Lonchura striata: one gene and its partner. The protein of the gene in region 1 interacts with the protein of each later gene in a pairwise test. Links are inferred from orthologs where the notes say so. Each region holds a gene or a part of one and is shown on either strand. Other genes may lie near its edges.

Evidence for each region. The genes of interacting proteins can lie anywhere in the genome.
Region 2: the proteins of GNL3 (region 1) and NPM1 interact in a two-hybrid assay, tested with the Homo sapiens proteins (2 studies listed by BioGRID, with this or other methods). The link is inferred for Lonchura striata from reciprocal best matches to the Homo sapiens genes GNL3 and NPM1.

The regions. Positions count from the first base shown.
Region 1 is NC_134614.1:9,332,895-9,340,319, reverse strand, and holds the start of GNL3 (guanine nucleotide-binding protein-like 3), read left to right. Parts: upstream 1-4,344; 5' UTR 4,345-4,385; coding exon 4,386-4,398; intron 4,399-4,594; coding exon 4,595-4,653; intron 4,654-4,778; coding exon 4,779-4,916; intron 4,917-5,499; coding exon 5,500-5,613; intron 5,614-5,772; coding exon 5,773-5,856; intron 5,857-6,118; coding exon 6,119-6,254; intron 6,255-6,309; exon of another isoform or gene 6,310-6,382; intron 6,383-6,706; coding exon 6,707-6,810; intron 6,811-7,072; coding exon 7,073-7,208; intron 7,209-7,425. Other genes in the region: PBRM1 (protein polybromo-1), read right to left, coding at 631-786, 1,706-1,753. UniProt on the Homo sapiens protein: May be required to maintain the proliferative capacity of stem cells. Stabilizes MDM2 by preventing its ubiquitination, and hence proteasomal degradation.
Region 2 is NC_134617.1:17,420,552-17,427,956, reverse strand, and holds the start of NPM1 (nucleophosmin), read left to right. Parts: upstream 1-4,326; 5' UTR 4,327-4,427; coding exon 4,428-4,491; intron 4,492-5,180; coding exon 5,181-5,260; intron 5,261-7,405. UniProt on the Homo sapiens protein: Involved in diverse cellular processes such as ribosome biogenesis, centrosome duplication, protein chaperoning, histone assembly, cell proliferation, and regulation of tumor suppressors p53/TP53 and ARF.

The DNA.
Region 1 (7,425 bases):
CAACTGAAGCGCCACCTCACACTTTAGCAGGATACCTTACAAGTGTGCCAGGTACTGTATGATCTCCATTTATTTTTTGAACATAGGTAGCTTTATTTCAATGCTAATTCTAAGCAAAACACCCAAAATGTAAATTAATTCAGTGCAATTCTCTCCAAGTTACAGGCATCTACAATAACAAGGGTTCTTCTGCCCTACAGTTAATTAACATTAGACTGCTCATGCAATGGCATAGCAGAGGCATTGTACACTTCAGCAATCACTGCCTGTGCCATTCCCCACTCATCCCTCTGCATTTGCTATGCAGACACAGCTCTCAACTTCTGCACATTATGATTTCAGCTCATTCTCCAACTTCCTTCCATCTGCTAAAATCATCAGCAAAAACAAAATAGCAAAGACAAAACAGCAAAGAAAAACATGAAAGTGGTAAGCCAGGACCAAGCCAAAGCCGAAGCTGAATGAGGTCCTAAACAAAATTCAGCCAAGGCTGGAATAGATTCAGGACCAGTGTGCATGTGCTACATATGGTCATTGATTTTACAGTCCAGCATGTTCCAGACAGACTGTTTCTTGGTGATACAATATCCCCCCCCCAAAAAAAGGTGCAGTCAGTAAGAAAGTACTAACAGGATCTACAGTTGGGAGATTGGAAAGTCTCCTCCTCTTCCTGCTTGGGCCTGGTACATTGGTGGAGTGATGGGCATCATCGAAGTCGCCGCCACTGACGCTGCTGGAAGGAGAGGTGGCTCTTCGCCTCTTGGAACCCATGGAATCCAACTTCTTCTATAATGAACAGAAACATCCTTAAAGCCCTGCCATTGCATCCCAACCCTCTGCTGAGAGCTACCCACACAATTCCCAAGAGTAAAGGAAATCAAAATGCTCCTACAGTTTTATAGTCACCAATGATAGCAAGGCCAGAAACCCCCAAGCTCACACTCACTGAATTAGAAATTCTTCACATAATATGTTCTTAAACTCTCTACATTTTCATACCCCATCCCATGCGCAAAAACTAAGCAAGAGCCACTGTTTTCAACAAAAAAGCTGTACAGAGACACATGCTCAGTTCTGGTGTAAAAACACTTAATTCCACGGCAAAGTACAAAACCACAAAAAACAGACCAAAAAAGAAAAAAAAACAACCAACCAAAACAAATTACAAATGAAAAGGGCCACACAATACCTTGTGTTATGTTCAAGAGAAAAAAAGGACTGGATCGCCATGGGACTGCCCACTCCCACTTTATGTGTGGGATGAATGGCTCAACCATGGAGAAACAGAAAAAGCTCCCTCCTCTTCTGGCCATAGTTTTGCATTTACCAACACAAGCAGTGACAAATGAATAACCACCATCCAACAACTATGGTAATTTATGGAACAAGTTATTGGCTCTTTCCCAACTTCCAGTGACAGCATCAGAAACGTATCTTTATTTGTGGCTATCTCAAAGGCTGAGCACAGAACAGATGCATCTATCCCAGCCCATCCCCATTTTCCAACCAAATCCAGGGATTTCTTTCAGGAGGCACTCAGATGGTTGACAAGGTATGGCAGCACGAGGTAACTGCATTAAAGCATTTCTCTTAGAGACAACTTCAGGCACACACATGAGATGAGTAAGGTAGGAATAATTAACAGCTAGGAAAAAGAAAAGCAAAAGGCCAAGGCAGAGGGATGGAGATACAATCAATAATTTACCAGATTTACCAGAGTAGAACCAGCACCTCGAAAAGCCAATCTCCTCATAGTGTCTGATGGGCAAGCACAGATACTGCGAGAAGGGGACACTCTAAGAGTGGCAAACCAGTAATGGTGTTAGTACAGCCACAACTGGAAGACAAGAAAAAGCAAAGAGAGAGAGAAGAAAATTCAGACTAGGTAGATAAAGAATAAAATCAAAGAATAAAGTGGATAATTACAGTGACAGAGAAAAAAAGCAAGAAACAGAAGGCAACTTTTTATAGCCCAGCAGAAACTCTACAAAGTAATTCTGTACACAGAATGCTAGACACTTCTGTCATTGTCACAGTAAAAATACATTTCTCTCATGTTCCTGAATATGCATTACAGATTTCACCGCCACTTGCTAGAGAATGATTCATCAAGAGCAGAAAGTAAACAGAAGTGATACCTGACCTGAGAGTACAAACCAGAAAGCTGTAAAACTTACAGAATGCAAAGCAGTACAGTGCTTATAAGAACATAATCTTAAGGTCAACAAGCATTTATTAAACTCTAAGATGATGCACCTCCAAAATTCTTCAGAGTAGACTTTTATACTCAGAAGTAAGCAGTAAGTATGCAGCCATACGCTAAAAAAAAAAAAAAAGTTTCAATTTCTAAGCCTCCAAGCCTTATTTTTTTCACAGAAATTCCATGTGAAATACACAGAACCATTTAATAGCAAAATGTTTGCTTCTGCGTAGTTCTTCCAACTCCTGCCTTCAATCAAACCCCAGAGAGGTTCTTTTACAGTTCAGCACTCTGAACATTCTCGTAACATGAACATGCAGAGAAGCTCTGTGGTTTATCAGCAGGCAATTCATTTTGGGAACTGACAACAGCCTCAAGCCTTGGCACAGCCTCCAACTTCCATCTGAGGGCTACAGTCTGGAGTGGCTCCACCAGGCAGGTGCTGGGAAACACAAGCCCTTGGTTGTGGAGGAAAGGCAGGAGGGACTACCAGAATCAATAATTCTGCTTCAACCAGGAACCCAAGAGTACACTCAGACCAGTCCCATCCTGAAATAAAGATCTGGGAAGCTCCCAACCAGAACTGCCTGCAGACTGTACATCAGCTGCTCCATGTGTACTGTCCGGGGCACAATGCTGTGGATCTCAGCCATACTCTGACACTGCTGTGATCAAGGTACCCTCACCACTCACACAGCCTCCAAAACACGTTTTTCTCCTCTAATAACCCTGTAAAACATGCATCAGTCTGGACAACATCACAAACACTCAGGGAGAGACCTGCTGATGTACCACTCACTGAAGGTGAGGCTCCAAAACACAAACTTCTTCCTAAACTGCCACACTCCTAAGCACAGAGAACTCAGCTGTGCACAGAAACACAGCTTTGCTGAAGAACCTCTCTCCCTGAGTTTCTTCTGCAATTGCACTGCTGGCTCACAGGTCTCTCAACAGTCACACCAAGAATCTCCACTGCTACCACTGACCACCTCCAATTCAACAGCAGCTTGAGCATCTCCTCGGTAATTGCCCCCACCAGCCATAAAAATGTCACAAAACCACAGCAAGAAAGGCTTTGGCCATTACTAATTCACATGTATACTGATATACACAACGGGGGGAAGGAAGGAAGGCTGTCCCTCCCAAAAGCTGTAGGGAAGGACCACAACAAGTGTCACCCACTCCAACCTCCCTACACCCACAGGTTTTACACTCGTCGGACATAACACACTTAAAATAAAACGTTCTAACACACTAGAGGTTCATTTTCTGCCTCCAGGCAGAGGAAAGCGAAAAGCCAACAGATACCACGGGTAGTACTTATTGCTATCAGGATCTCCCACGTTTCACCAGAAACACGAAACACGGTAAATTTAGCAAAGGGAACAGGGGAGGGAAACGCAAAGGGAACAGGGGAGGGAAAAGCCGGAATTTCCCCCGGTTACCGATCCCATTGAAAGCTGCTACGGGATGGGAAGAGGGGGCTGGCAGCAGCCAGGCACGGTAACAGGGCAAAGCTGACGGGAAAGCGAGAGGGACAACACATCCATCGTTTTACCGGCACCGGGACAAGGAACAAAGGCAGCAAATCCGGAACTGCCCGAGGCGCCGGAGCCCTGCCCGGGAGGTGAGGCGCTATCCCCGGCAGGAAACAAAGAAAAGCCTTTCCCGGCACCGGGCGGCCAGGACGGGGTCCCGGGCCCGCCCCGCGGGGCACGACCCGCCGCGCTCAGCGCGCGGGCCCGGGCGGCGCCGGCACGGGAACACGGCGGGAGCGGGGCGGGGAGGAGGGGCTGAGGCGCACCCGGGCCCGGGCAGGTGACGGGGGCCGGCGGCGCTCGGTGCCCCGGGCCCGGCGCGCCGGGGCCGCTGCGCGCTCGGGCGGCGCCGCCACACAAAGGGAGGCAGCGGCCTCCAAGCTCCGGCCCGCGCCCCGCCCGCGCCGCTCACCCCGCCGGCTCCGCTCCGCCTCCCGCAGCCGCGGCCGACCCGGGGTGGGTGCGCGGGGTCCGCCCGGCCCGGCCCGTCCCGCCGGTACCGCCCGTCCGACACCGCCGGTGCCGCCGCCGCCGCTGCCGCAAAGCGCGCCCGGCCGCCCAACGCGCCGAGCCCGCGCGACACCCCGGCGGGGCAGCGCCGGCGCGCTTTACGGCAGCGCCCGCCGGCGGGAGCACGTGGCGGCGCCATGAAGCGGCCGAGTGAGCGCCGGGAGCGGCTCCGGGACGGGCACGGGCACGGGCACCGAGCGGGCGGGAACGGCACGGGGAGGGCGCGGGCGGCGGCCCGGCACCGGGGGGCGGCGGCCGCCCGTGGCCGAGCGAGCGGCAGCGGTGGAGGAGGCGGGAGTCGGGGCCGGGGGATGTTTGCGGCGCTGACGGGCGCGGTGCGTTGCAGAGCTGCGGAAGGCGAGCAAGAGGCTGAGCTGCCACAAGCGCTACAAGATCCAGAAGAAGGTGAGGCCCGGCCCAGCGCGGCCCCCGCGCCGCGTTCGGCGATTTTGGGGCCGCTGCGCTGAAGTTTTGGGCCTCAGAGTGAGAACGTTTCTTGTGCCTGCCCTCATTTCTTGTGCTTCCCTCAGATAAGAGAACACCACCGGAAAGTCCGCAAGGAGGCCAAGAAACGCGGCCACAAGAAGCCCAAGAAAGACCCCGGAATTCCCAGTGCTGCGCCGTTTAAGGAAGAGCTGCTGCGGGAAGCGGAGCAAAGAAAGCAGAGGGTAAAACACAGTTTTCGGTAAAGAGAACAAGAACTGAGAGCATCCCCTTCTGTAAGGAAGCTTTGTGTGCACTCAGAGGAGCAGTCATGGTAGATGGTCCCAGCAAACTCGTGCTTTGGAAAAATGATGTATTTATTTCCAGCACCGTACCGTGTGCATTGATTTGCTCTTTTATTTTTAACCTTCGTTTCCTCACTGGGATGGGAGCATGCTGGAAGTGTCTTTTCTAATGCAGTCAGAATTCCCTGTGGTGCTGGGATACAGAAATGTCCCATCAGAGTGCTGGGAGTTAAATCATGGCATTATGTGATTACACAGAAAATCGGGATCTGCTGTCTGCAGTGTGCACTAATGTGGCATTTGTCAGCTGTAGTGGTGGCTGCAGCGCTGCTGTTCTGGGATCAAGCAAATGCATGGCTGCCTCTGGGTAGGATGCAAAAAAAGAGTTCCCAGAGTTACTTGGACAGCCAGGACTTCTAACTGAGCTGGCTCAGGAGCTTGGGTCAGGAATGGGGAGAAAGAACATTCTTCCTTAGCACCTTCGAAGATGTTTTATCTGCCCTGGGTTTTTGTTTGTGATCAGCTTGAAGAACTGAAACAAAAGCAGAAGCTCAATAGACAGAAAGAACATGAAAAGAAGAGGAAGCTGGAAGCTAAAAAGAATGCAGTCACAATCAAGGAGAAAGCAGAGGGAAAGGTAGGGGTCCTGTATGATTTTGATTCCTTGAACCTGGAGAAGTCATCCTGAAACTGCACCTTCTTAAGCAGCAGTTTACATTTTCATGCTGAATATGCACACAAGTAGTAGACACTAATTCTCATTTAAATAATTTCCTTTTGTTTTTATTTGCTTTAGGACTCCCCTGGCAAATCTAAAGGAAAGACTAAAAAACCACTGAATAAAAATTCTAAGAAATCATTCTGCAGGGAGCTTATGAAGGTGAAATGCTTTAACTATTTTTTTTATCATTAGATATAGATATATAGATATTTTATATCACTAAAGAGTCAGCAATAAGATCACTTGTTATTTTGCTTTTTTTGTATTACTGTTTAGAGCACAAAGTTTGTCTGTGATAAACTAGAACACTGATGGGATTTTACAACAGAAAATGTTAACTATTTTTGTAAGCCACAGCTATAGCAGAATTGTAATCTGGTCTGTGATGTCTTGTTGGATTCCTGTCTTTTTTCTGACCCAGGTGCTTGAGGCCTCAGATGTAGTTCTGGAGGTTTTGGATGCCAGAGATCCAATGGGCTGCAGGTGTCCTCAGCTGGAGCAAGCTGTCACTTCCTCTGGAGGGAACAAAAAGCTGCTCTTGGTTCTGAACAAAATTGGTAAGAAACACAGGTTTTCTCAAAGTGTTACTGGCACTGTGTTTCTGTGGTGGGTGAGCTATGAAGATTTTAAAGGAATCTGAGATTCCATTGAAGACATGAGATCCAACTCTGAGCTCACTACAAAGGCTGGAAATTACCCAGTACCAGTAGCTAATTAAAGAAAACAAAATACCAAGAGCAACAAGAAGAGCAAAGGGAACTCTGTGGTAGAAGTCAGAATCTTTCACAGATCATTCTGTACCATGCAAAGTCTTCTAGCCAGAGCCCAGCATTAAAAGCCTAATACAGAGGCCAGAAATGTAATTGTGATATGTTCTGCTAAGGCAGAAAGAGAGACTCTGTGTGCCTTTGGGGAAGGTATCCAGTACTTCATATTAGAGTTCTCAGCCAAATGGTATTTGTCATGATAGGATTAATTTAAGGAGTGAAAGAACTGCTCTTCTTTCCAGATTTGGTGCCAAAGAACAACATAGAGAAATGGTTGAATTATTTGAAGAAGGAGTTTCCAACAGTTGCTTTTAAGTCAGCAACAATTATGAAGGACAAGACTATGGTAAGAGCACTGCAGGCTGTCCCACGAAAAGTTCATGTGTTTGCAGTCATACATGTTGGAACATCTTTAAAATTCCTTTCTCCCTGGTTTGGTTGCACTTTTTGGTTGATGGATGTGCCTTTACACTTCAATTGAGCTTTGCAATACAGTGGGAGAATTCTTAGCACGGAAATTACAGTAGATTAATAAATCTAAGTATCCATATTTTATCTTCCTTAATAGCTCCTGACCATGGGCTTTTTTTTGCCTTTGAATCTGGTAGCAGGAACAGGTCACAAAAAGACATGCACGTGTTGATTTCGCAGAAACCACTCAGTATTTTGGAAGCAAATGCCTTTTGAAGCTTCTTCAAGGGTATGGCAAGACCCAAGACAAAGCCATTCAGGTTGGGGTTGTAGGTAAGTGTTTGGAGAAACAGGAGGAGTTTCTTTCTCCTATAAAGCTTTGGGATCCTGTATTCCTGGACTGGGTAAAACTGCTGACACCTGGTTTGCTAATGAGCTTTCTAGTCACTGTTCTTTGCTCCAAGACTCTCAGTGTTGTAGTGCTTCAGCTGCCAGGGATCCATGGTGCACTGCCATGTGCAGCACGGGGATCTGTGGGAGAACAAAGAAG
Region 2 (7,405 bases), on another chromosome or scaffold:
TATTGCTCTGGGGAATGGTTTCTCCCTCCCCAGAGACCTCTGTAGCTGTGACCTGTTAGTTTGACCCTTCCTTCCTTTCCTGACATAATTGGCTGGGAGCCAAGTAGCCCTTACTGTACTGAGCCTAGATAAGGCTCTGCCCCTTCCTGGTTCTCTCTCTTTCCCTCTTCCTCCTATGGAATAAACATCTTGGACCACATTGGGGGTTGGAGCCTCTTTTGGAATCTTCACCCAGCTCCTGGAACACTCTCCCCTCAAGGCCTTACAGATGTGGGCTAGCCTGGTAACTTCGGGGGGCTGCACAGGAAGGTGTCTCAGAGATGGAGAATAACAAACACAGGAAAATCAGGAACTGGACATGATCATGCTGTGCCCCACCCCATGGCCTTATGTCTGCTCTTCTACACCCTGCAGGAACCATGGGGAACAGGGACAATATTTCAAAGCTTGTGCTGCAGTAGGAGTAGATGTGAAAAGGGACCACCAGAAAAGGCTACTTTGATGTGGACTATCAGGTGTTATCTCCCATCTCCAAGGCCCTGGCTGCCCATGAGTGCTCAGCAGAACTCATGTACCCTGGCAGTGATGCAGAACATTGTTTTGGGATCAAGCTCATGGAGTGTAACAAGCAGAGCAGTGCCATGGGCTGGCAGCAGGTATAGCTTCAGCACACAGCAGCAAATGATATTGCAAGGGGAGTCGTGGCTCGTGGCACAAGGGCAGCTGGCATCGCTGGGGAGAGGATGTTAGGTGCAGTCTGCCTCGCCAGCCTTACAGACACATGCCTGATGGAGATCTCTGCTGCCACCCCCTTCCTGACCCATGCCAGCCCCACCAACTCCAAACTCCTACTCCTCCTACTGGGAAGTGGCCTCACCTTTGAGACCTGCAGGACACACAAAGTTTTAAAGTATCCTGATTTTTCTCCCAGTTTCAGTCAGGACAGTGTTAATTTTTGCAATAGCCAGGAAGGGTCATGGCCAGGACCTAGAGGCTATTCTGTACTGAATATTTAAAGAAAAAAGAAAAAAAAAAATAGAGACATTTCAGGCTATCTTAATTTTTACTGTTGTGGACACTGACACCTGTAATCTATCTGTGTAACCTTACTTCATTTCATCACTGCAATACCTGAGTGCCTCCCCTGTGGATATCCTGGCTCACCTGCCATTCCTCTCTTTTACAATTGTATGTCTGAAACTGGGCCTTAATAGGAGAAGAATCCTCTCAAAGCTTTATGCAAAACCATAGAAGAGATGGAGCAGCACCGGCTTGTGCTGCCATAAGCAGAAGCTGGGGCACCAGACTCCCTCTGCTTCCCTTATGCAGCATTCTTTGGTGCTGAAGGACCTTCTGATACAGCTCTTTATGGTGCTCTGCATGAGTAATATGCTACAGGCAAAGCTGGGGATGGAATAGGCACTACAGAAAGAGGGAAGATGGAGAAAACTTCCAGTGCTACTTACAGCAGGTTCAGCAGCAAAAAGCAGATTGTGGGTAAGAAAGAAGACAACCAGGTAAGGATGGTCCCTCCATCCCAGCTCCTTGTCCTGCGCTGGCTGCAAACCAGCCTGGAGGTGAAGGGAAATTACAAATGCAAGGTCAAATCCTCCCAAAGCAGCCCCAGGAGATGCAGTTCTCACCTGTGTTCAGGGTGTTCAGCTGGCACCCAGCCAGGCGGCTCTGTCCATGCTGCCCCTGCAGTGCCTAGACAGCACATTGCTCCTGCTGCTGCCCCAGCTCATGGGACCAGGAAAGCCAACACCTGCCTCTTGCTGCCCTATCTGGGGACAGCAATATGCAGTTCTTTCAGGCTAAAGTGAAATACTTGGATTTTCTGGTGTGCAAGTGATCTTTTTTTGAGATCAAGAATGGTGTTTTGATGCCAGTTAAGATTTTGGCCCTGGGACAGAAACTGTTGACTAGTGAAGGGCGGGGGAGGCCAGTGGAGAGGCTATGTGACAGCCATGGGCTAGGGCAGCTGAAGATTATTTCATTACGTCAGCATGGAAATTAAGATTGCATAGGAAATCTTTACTGTCTCTATACCTTCTGATCGTTTGATTACAACTGCACTGTGGTTTTAATCATGCTCAACATAAAATTTCCTGAATTTTGTACATGTTCACTAAAAAGAGAATTCCATTAAGCAAAGTTCTGATTTTCTCCTAGTTGTCCCTGTATGGCTGTTTCTAAATCACTTGTAAGCCTTTTCTGCCATGCCGAGTATTACACAGCACAGAGCCAAGCAAAATAAAATGATCGATATTGTAATGGACTTCTCATCGTAGTACCATGGCAGAAATAATAAATGTCATGATATATGACAACCCTTCTAAATCCCTATGGAGCCAAATGAGACACAGTAAGCATATATCTCCTACTTCCTACCCCTGCTTTTCTTCTCTGTGTGTGTTCCTCCCACATTTATTTCCTCCATAAAGGAAGACTGTAATTGTATTGAACGTGACTCTGCAGACAGGAGAATCTGCTGTGGTTCCACTGTTCCCTTCAGCAGACCCAGGTGGACTTCTGGAGCTGCAGTTTGTGAGCTGCTCAGTGCCCTGCGGGGCAGGACTTTTGGTGGCTTTGGCCAGCAGCCATGTCCTCCTGCTGGCACTACAGGTAAATGCAATTCACTCCCTTCCACTATTACTGTGTAGGATTCACCTTCCAGCTCCAGTCTGACATCTGCCTCATGCCATAACTTCATTTGAAATTTAGATAATAGTTCCCATTTTCAATCCAGCCCAAACAAATGCCTTATCTGCATCTTTGCAGCTTTTAAGGCTGAGATGTCTGATCAGTTAATGATGTCTCTCTCTGCCAGGGACACCAGCCACTGCACTTGTTGGAATTTCTGCCTCTGCTGCTCCACAGATCCCTGGGCGTATCTTAGGGCAGCTGAGGGTGTATCTATAGTGGCAACTATTTTCCCATAGTTGCCACTCTTCCTACCCAGCAGTAATTACTTCGTAAAGGTAATAAGAAATTAACCAAACCAAATGTTAGAAAATGAAATAAACACTGTTTGTTCTCTGGTTCCTTGTGAGACTTTAAGGGGAGTAAATCACAGAATCACAGAATATCCATCCTCACTCATATGCTAAACTGTGCTCCAATTTATTCCTGTACCTTGTTTTCACACACAATTTAACTATTATTGAATTTTGGTCAGCCTGTGGCAACCACCAGAAACACCTCAGTGGACAGCCTGCCCTAATGTTAATAGGATGGTAGGGGATCATATCCTGGTGAAACCATGTGTATCCTGTGGAACTGCATTTGCTGTTTGCAAAGGGGCCAGCTTCATGGAAGAGCGAGGAAGGGGAGTCTTTGACAGCGTAAGTTTCATTTTCCCATTGTGCCAGTTATTCTTCAGTTTGTCTCATTTTCAGCAACATCATTTAATGTTGATCCTTTATGAATTCCAATGAAGGTAACTCTACAAGTTACACATTTCAAATCAGAAGGGAGGTAAGAGCACCAAGAGCCTATAAACTTTTATTTTTGCAGAGTAAGTGTTCAGGTAAGTGTGAGATTAGTACACAAGTGACCCTTGTGCAGATCAGCCCCAGGACACGATGGCCTGGGATGTGTGGATGATGAACCCAGCCCAGGGGCAGTGATGGGCTCCCACCACGGTGGCAAACAAGTGCTTCCAGGACTAGTAGATCTACGTATAAAATAACCCTAGAACTTTTAACTTTGTTGTGACAGCTTTCCCCGTGCGCTAATTTCACATTAAAAAGTGGTTTGCCCCCATCATCCGCCAGCTGAAAAGGAGGTTCCCAGAGTGTTGTTGTCCCTGGCCTTCAGAGCCAGTGGCGCAGGGAGCAGTAGCTCGGGATGGGAGCCCATCCTGACAGGCAACGCACAGGAAGGGAGCTGCTTTCGTTCCTGTATGATTTTAGTCAGAGATGGCAGCAGCAGCCAGCTGCCGCCACAGAGCGAGCAGGGCGCGTTGCACCGCAGCACGGCTCTGCGGCCGGGGAGCCGCTCGGGCCGGCGCGGCTGCAAGCTCTGAGCCGGGCCCGGGCCGCGGCCGCGCCCCTTCGCTGTCCGCGCGTGCTGCGCGGCCGGGAGCGGAACGCTGCGGTCCGCACCCACGGCTCTGCCCCACGTGTGGCGCGGCTCCCCGCGGCTCCCCGCGGCTCCCCGGCGGCGGCCGCGGGCCCTGCGGGCGCGGCGGGCTCGGCCCCTCACACGGCCACGGCCACGGCCATGGCCCCGCCCCCTGGCGGCCCGCGCGCGACCACCGTCAGCGTGCGTGCGCAAGGGCGGCGCGGGGCGCCGAGGGACGGGCCCAGCGCGCGGCTCTCGCGAGAACACGAGGCTATATCAGCGAGTGGGCGGGCGCGAGGCTTCCTTTAGTGCGCGTCCACCCGAAGCGTAGTGTTCCCGGTCGGTCGTGCCCCAGCCCCGCGATGGAGGACAGCGCCATGGACATGGAGAGCATGGGCCCCCTGCGCCCGCAGACCTTCCTCTTCGGTAACGCTCGCCGCGGCCACGCTTTCCTGGGGCCCGCTGGCCCCGTCGCCCCCGCAGGCCCCGGGGCCGAGCGCCGTGCGGGGCCGCGGCCTGTGCCGGCCGAGCGCCGCCGCTCCGCGCGCGCGGCGGGGCCGGGGGCTCGGGCGGGACCGGGGGCTCGGCCGGGGGCTCGGGCGGGGCCGGGGGCGTGCGGCGGCCGCTTCCGCGCACTCCGCACGTGGCGCGCGGCCCGCACGTGGCGGGGCCCGTCGCGCTCTGTTCCGCGCTTTGTTCGCGGTGTGTCCCGCCGTTCCTAAGGATGCGGCGCCCCGGCAGCGCCCGCGGAGCACGTGGCAGCGCGGCCGGAGGCGGAGCACGTGGAGCGCCGCGGCCGCGCGCGCCTTGCTGCTCCGGGGCAGGCCCGGCCGCCACGGCGGCGGTTCCGGAGGTGCCATCGTCCCGGGCACCGCGGCGGACGCTGGGCGGGGATGCTCTGGAAGCTGCTGGGTTTAACCGGGCCGTGCGGGGAGCTGCGTGGCCGCCAGCAGGCCGCGCACTCGCGCGGGGTTTTCTTCACCCCACGTGTTCCGCTCCTTGCGTGCCCGCAGCGTGCCGCTACTTCCCTGCGAGTACGCGGCCTGGGAGCAGCAAGCTGCCAAGTAATGCTGTTTTAAATAAAGCAGGAGGCTTATAATTGGATTGTTTTACAGGCTGCGAGCTTAAAGCAGATAAGGAGTTTCAGTTCAAAGTAGATGATGAAGAAAACGAACATCAGTTGTCACTAAGAACGGCAAGTAGTGTTTGTTTTTTTTTGCTTCCCATTTAAATATACTGGTGTGCTGTGATGGTGTGTTTTTTAACGTGTCATTTATTTCTCCAAACATAATTCAGGTGATAATTGATATGTAAATCTGTATAAAGTAAACATCTCTTACTAGCAGTGGGGCATATTCTGTAATTTCAGATATTTTCTGTATTGAAAACATTTCTTCACTGATGTTTCATTCACAGCAAACAAATGCAAGGCTGGAAAACGTTAAAAATCAACTTACAGTTAGCTAGTAAATATCTGCTAAATTGAGAATTTAGGCTATACATGAGGCATCCCTAAGGTAAATAATGCAGATGCTACAGGAGCAGAGGGAGAAAGATAGATGTGTAAGAGTCATACATAGGCACACTCTTGTGGACTACTATAAACCTGATTTTGAAAACCATTTCAGTGTGTTCCATAAGCTGACTCTAACTCTCTCTTTCCCAGAAGCAGATAATAAGTAAATCTAAATTAGACAGCAGAAGGTTTATGTTTTGACTTACTGTCCTTGGTTTGGCCTTTCCAAGGATGTAACTGGGAAGCCCCATCTTTCATTCAGATAATTCATCTAGCAGACTCCCAGGAGTTCTTGGGTGGGTCCTTGGAGCTTCCTGAGGCCACACAAGTCAGACACAATATTTCAAGGCTTTTGTTCTTGGCTGATCATGTTTTTTTTGGGTAGCAAATCAATAATGTGCACTGTCTTAGCCGTCAAGAAATTAAAGAGTTGTAGCATCTTCATGGCATGTTCCTGTGTTTATTTAAATGCAAGGAAATGCTTTGATGCCTGGAAGAAGAAAGTCTTAAAATTGTTGACTAATTCCTACAGGAGAATTGATTCCTGGAGGTCACTTGCATAATGAGTATCTCCAAACACTTAATGGTGTTACTTAAAACACTTCTTTTTTTTATGTGAGTCATGTGTTTTCCATACTATATTATGAAAAGTACAGCCTGGACTTGACAAAGAGTAATTTGTTGTTAATTACAATTCCTTTTGATGGAAGAACATAGCAATGTATAGGGCAAGTCCACATGCAGATTTCTTGTATCTGAATATTTGTTACATAGCCAAAATTAGTGATACTTAAATTGTATTGTTTTACTCAAGAGTTCCTTTTCTATTTATACTTTCAAAATTAATTGTAGCATTTCTTCTGATGTTGTACAGATGGATGAAGCAGATCAATCCTCACCACTACTTTGTTGCTAGGCTTGTGGGGGGAATTAATCTTCTGTCAGTAACTTCTTTCCATAGAATAAAAAGGGATGATGCACTGGAGAAAGGGTTAAGATACCAAAGGACAAACTAGGAAATGTTTAAGATACTTGGAGGGTCTCAGACATGGTTTAAACAAAAGACCTTGTTGAGTAGAGGAAGGACTTAAAAAAAGGTAAAGGCGGCAAAAACCTGCGGGCTGGTCTATGCTCCCGATAAAAGCCTAGATGAGTAAAGACAGTGTTAAAATACAAATGCAGTGGGGGACTTGGGCATGAGGTACAGCAAGATGGGAAGAAAAGGGTAAAAGGGAAAAGAGGTGGATAAATGTAGGAGGTAAAAGTGCCATGAGTTTCTGTAAATGTCTTACTAATGACAGTTGTGTATAGGGATGGTCACTGATTCATCACCTATTTGGTGTGCATTCCTTCAATATAGAAGTTAAAGCACAGGCATGGATGCTTGCCAAACACAGAGAAATAAATCACAAATAACTGCTATAGTATTAAACTAGGGCAAATGACAGGGTATGCACTAAAATTTTTGTCCCACTAGCTGAGCAATTCAGTGTTGTTGACAGCACATTTGAGAGGTGAGATCAGAGCTGCAATTTCACCTCTTTGAATTGCTAATAACAAAATTTGCCAGTAGTGAATCCAGTGTTCTGTTTTCCAGCCTTCAGTCTGATACATCTAAATCTGGACAATTACAGTCTCATTAAAGCTCAGCTCTTGAAGAATGGAAACTTCCGTGCCTCTGCCTGAAGTGTTCACACCTACATCTCCTGTGGGGGTTGGAAAGATTTCTTGTGAGGGGTTTCAGGAAAGGAAACACAGAGCCTTTGTGCACTGCTGTTGGGAATAGTTGTAGTATGAAGGATTTGTGGTTTTCACATCTTCTGC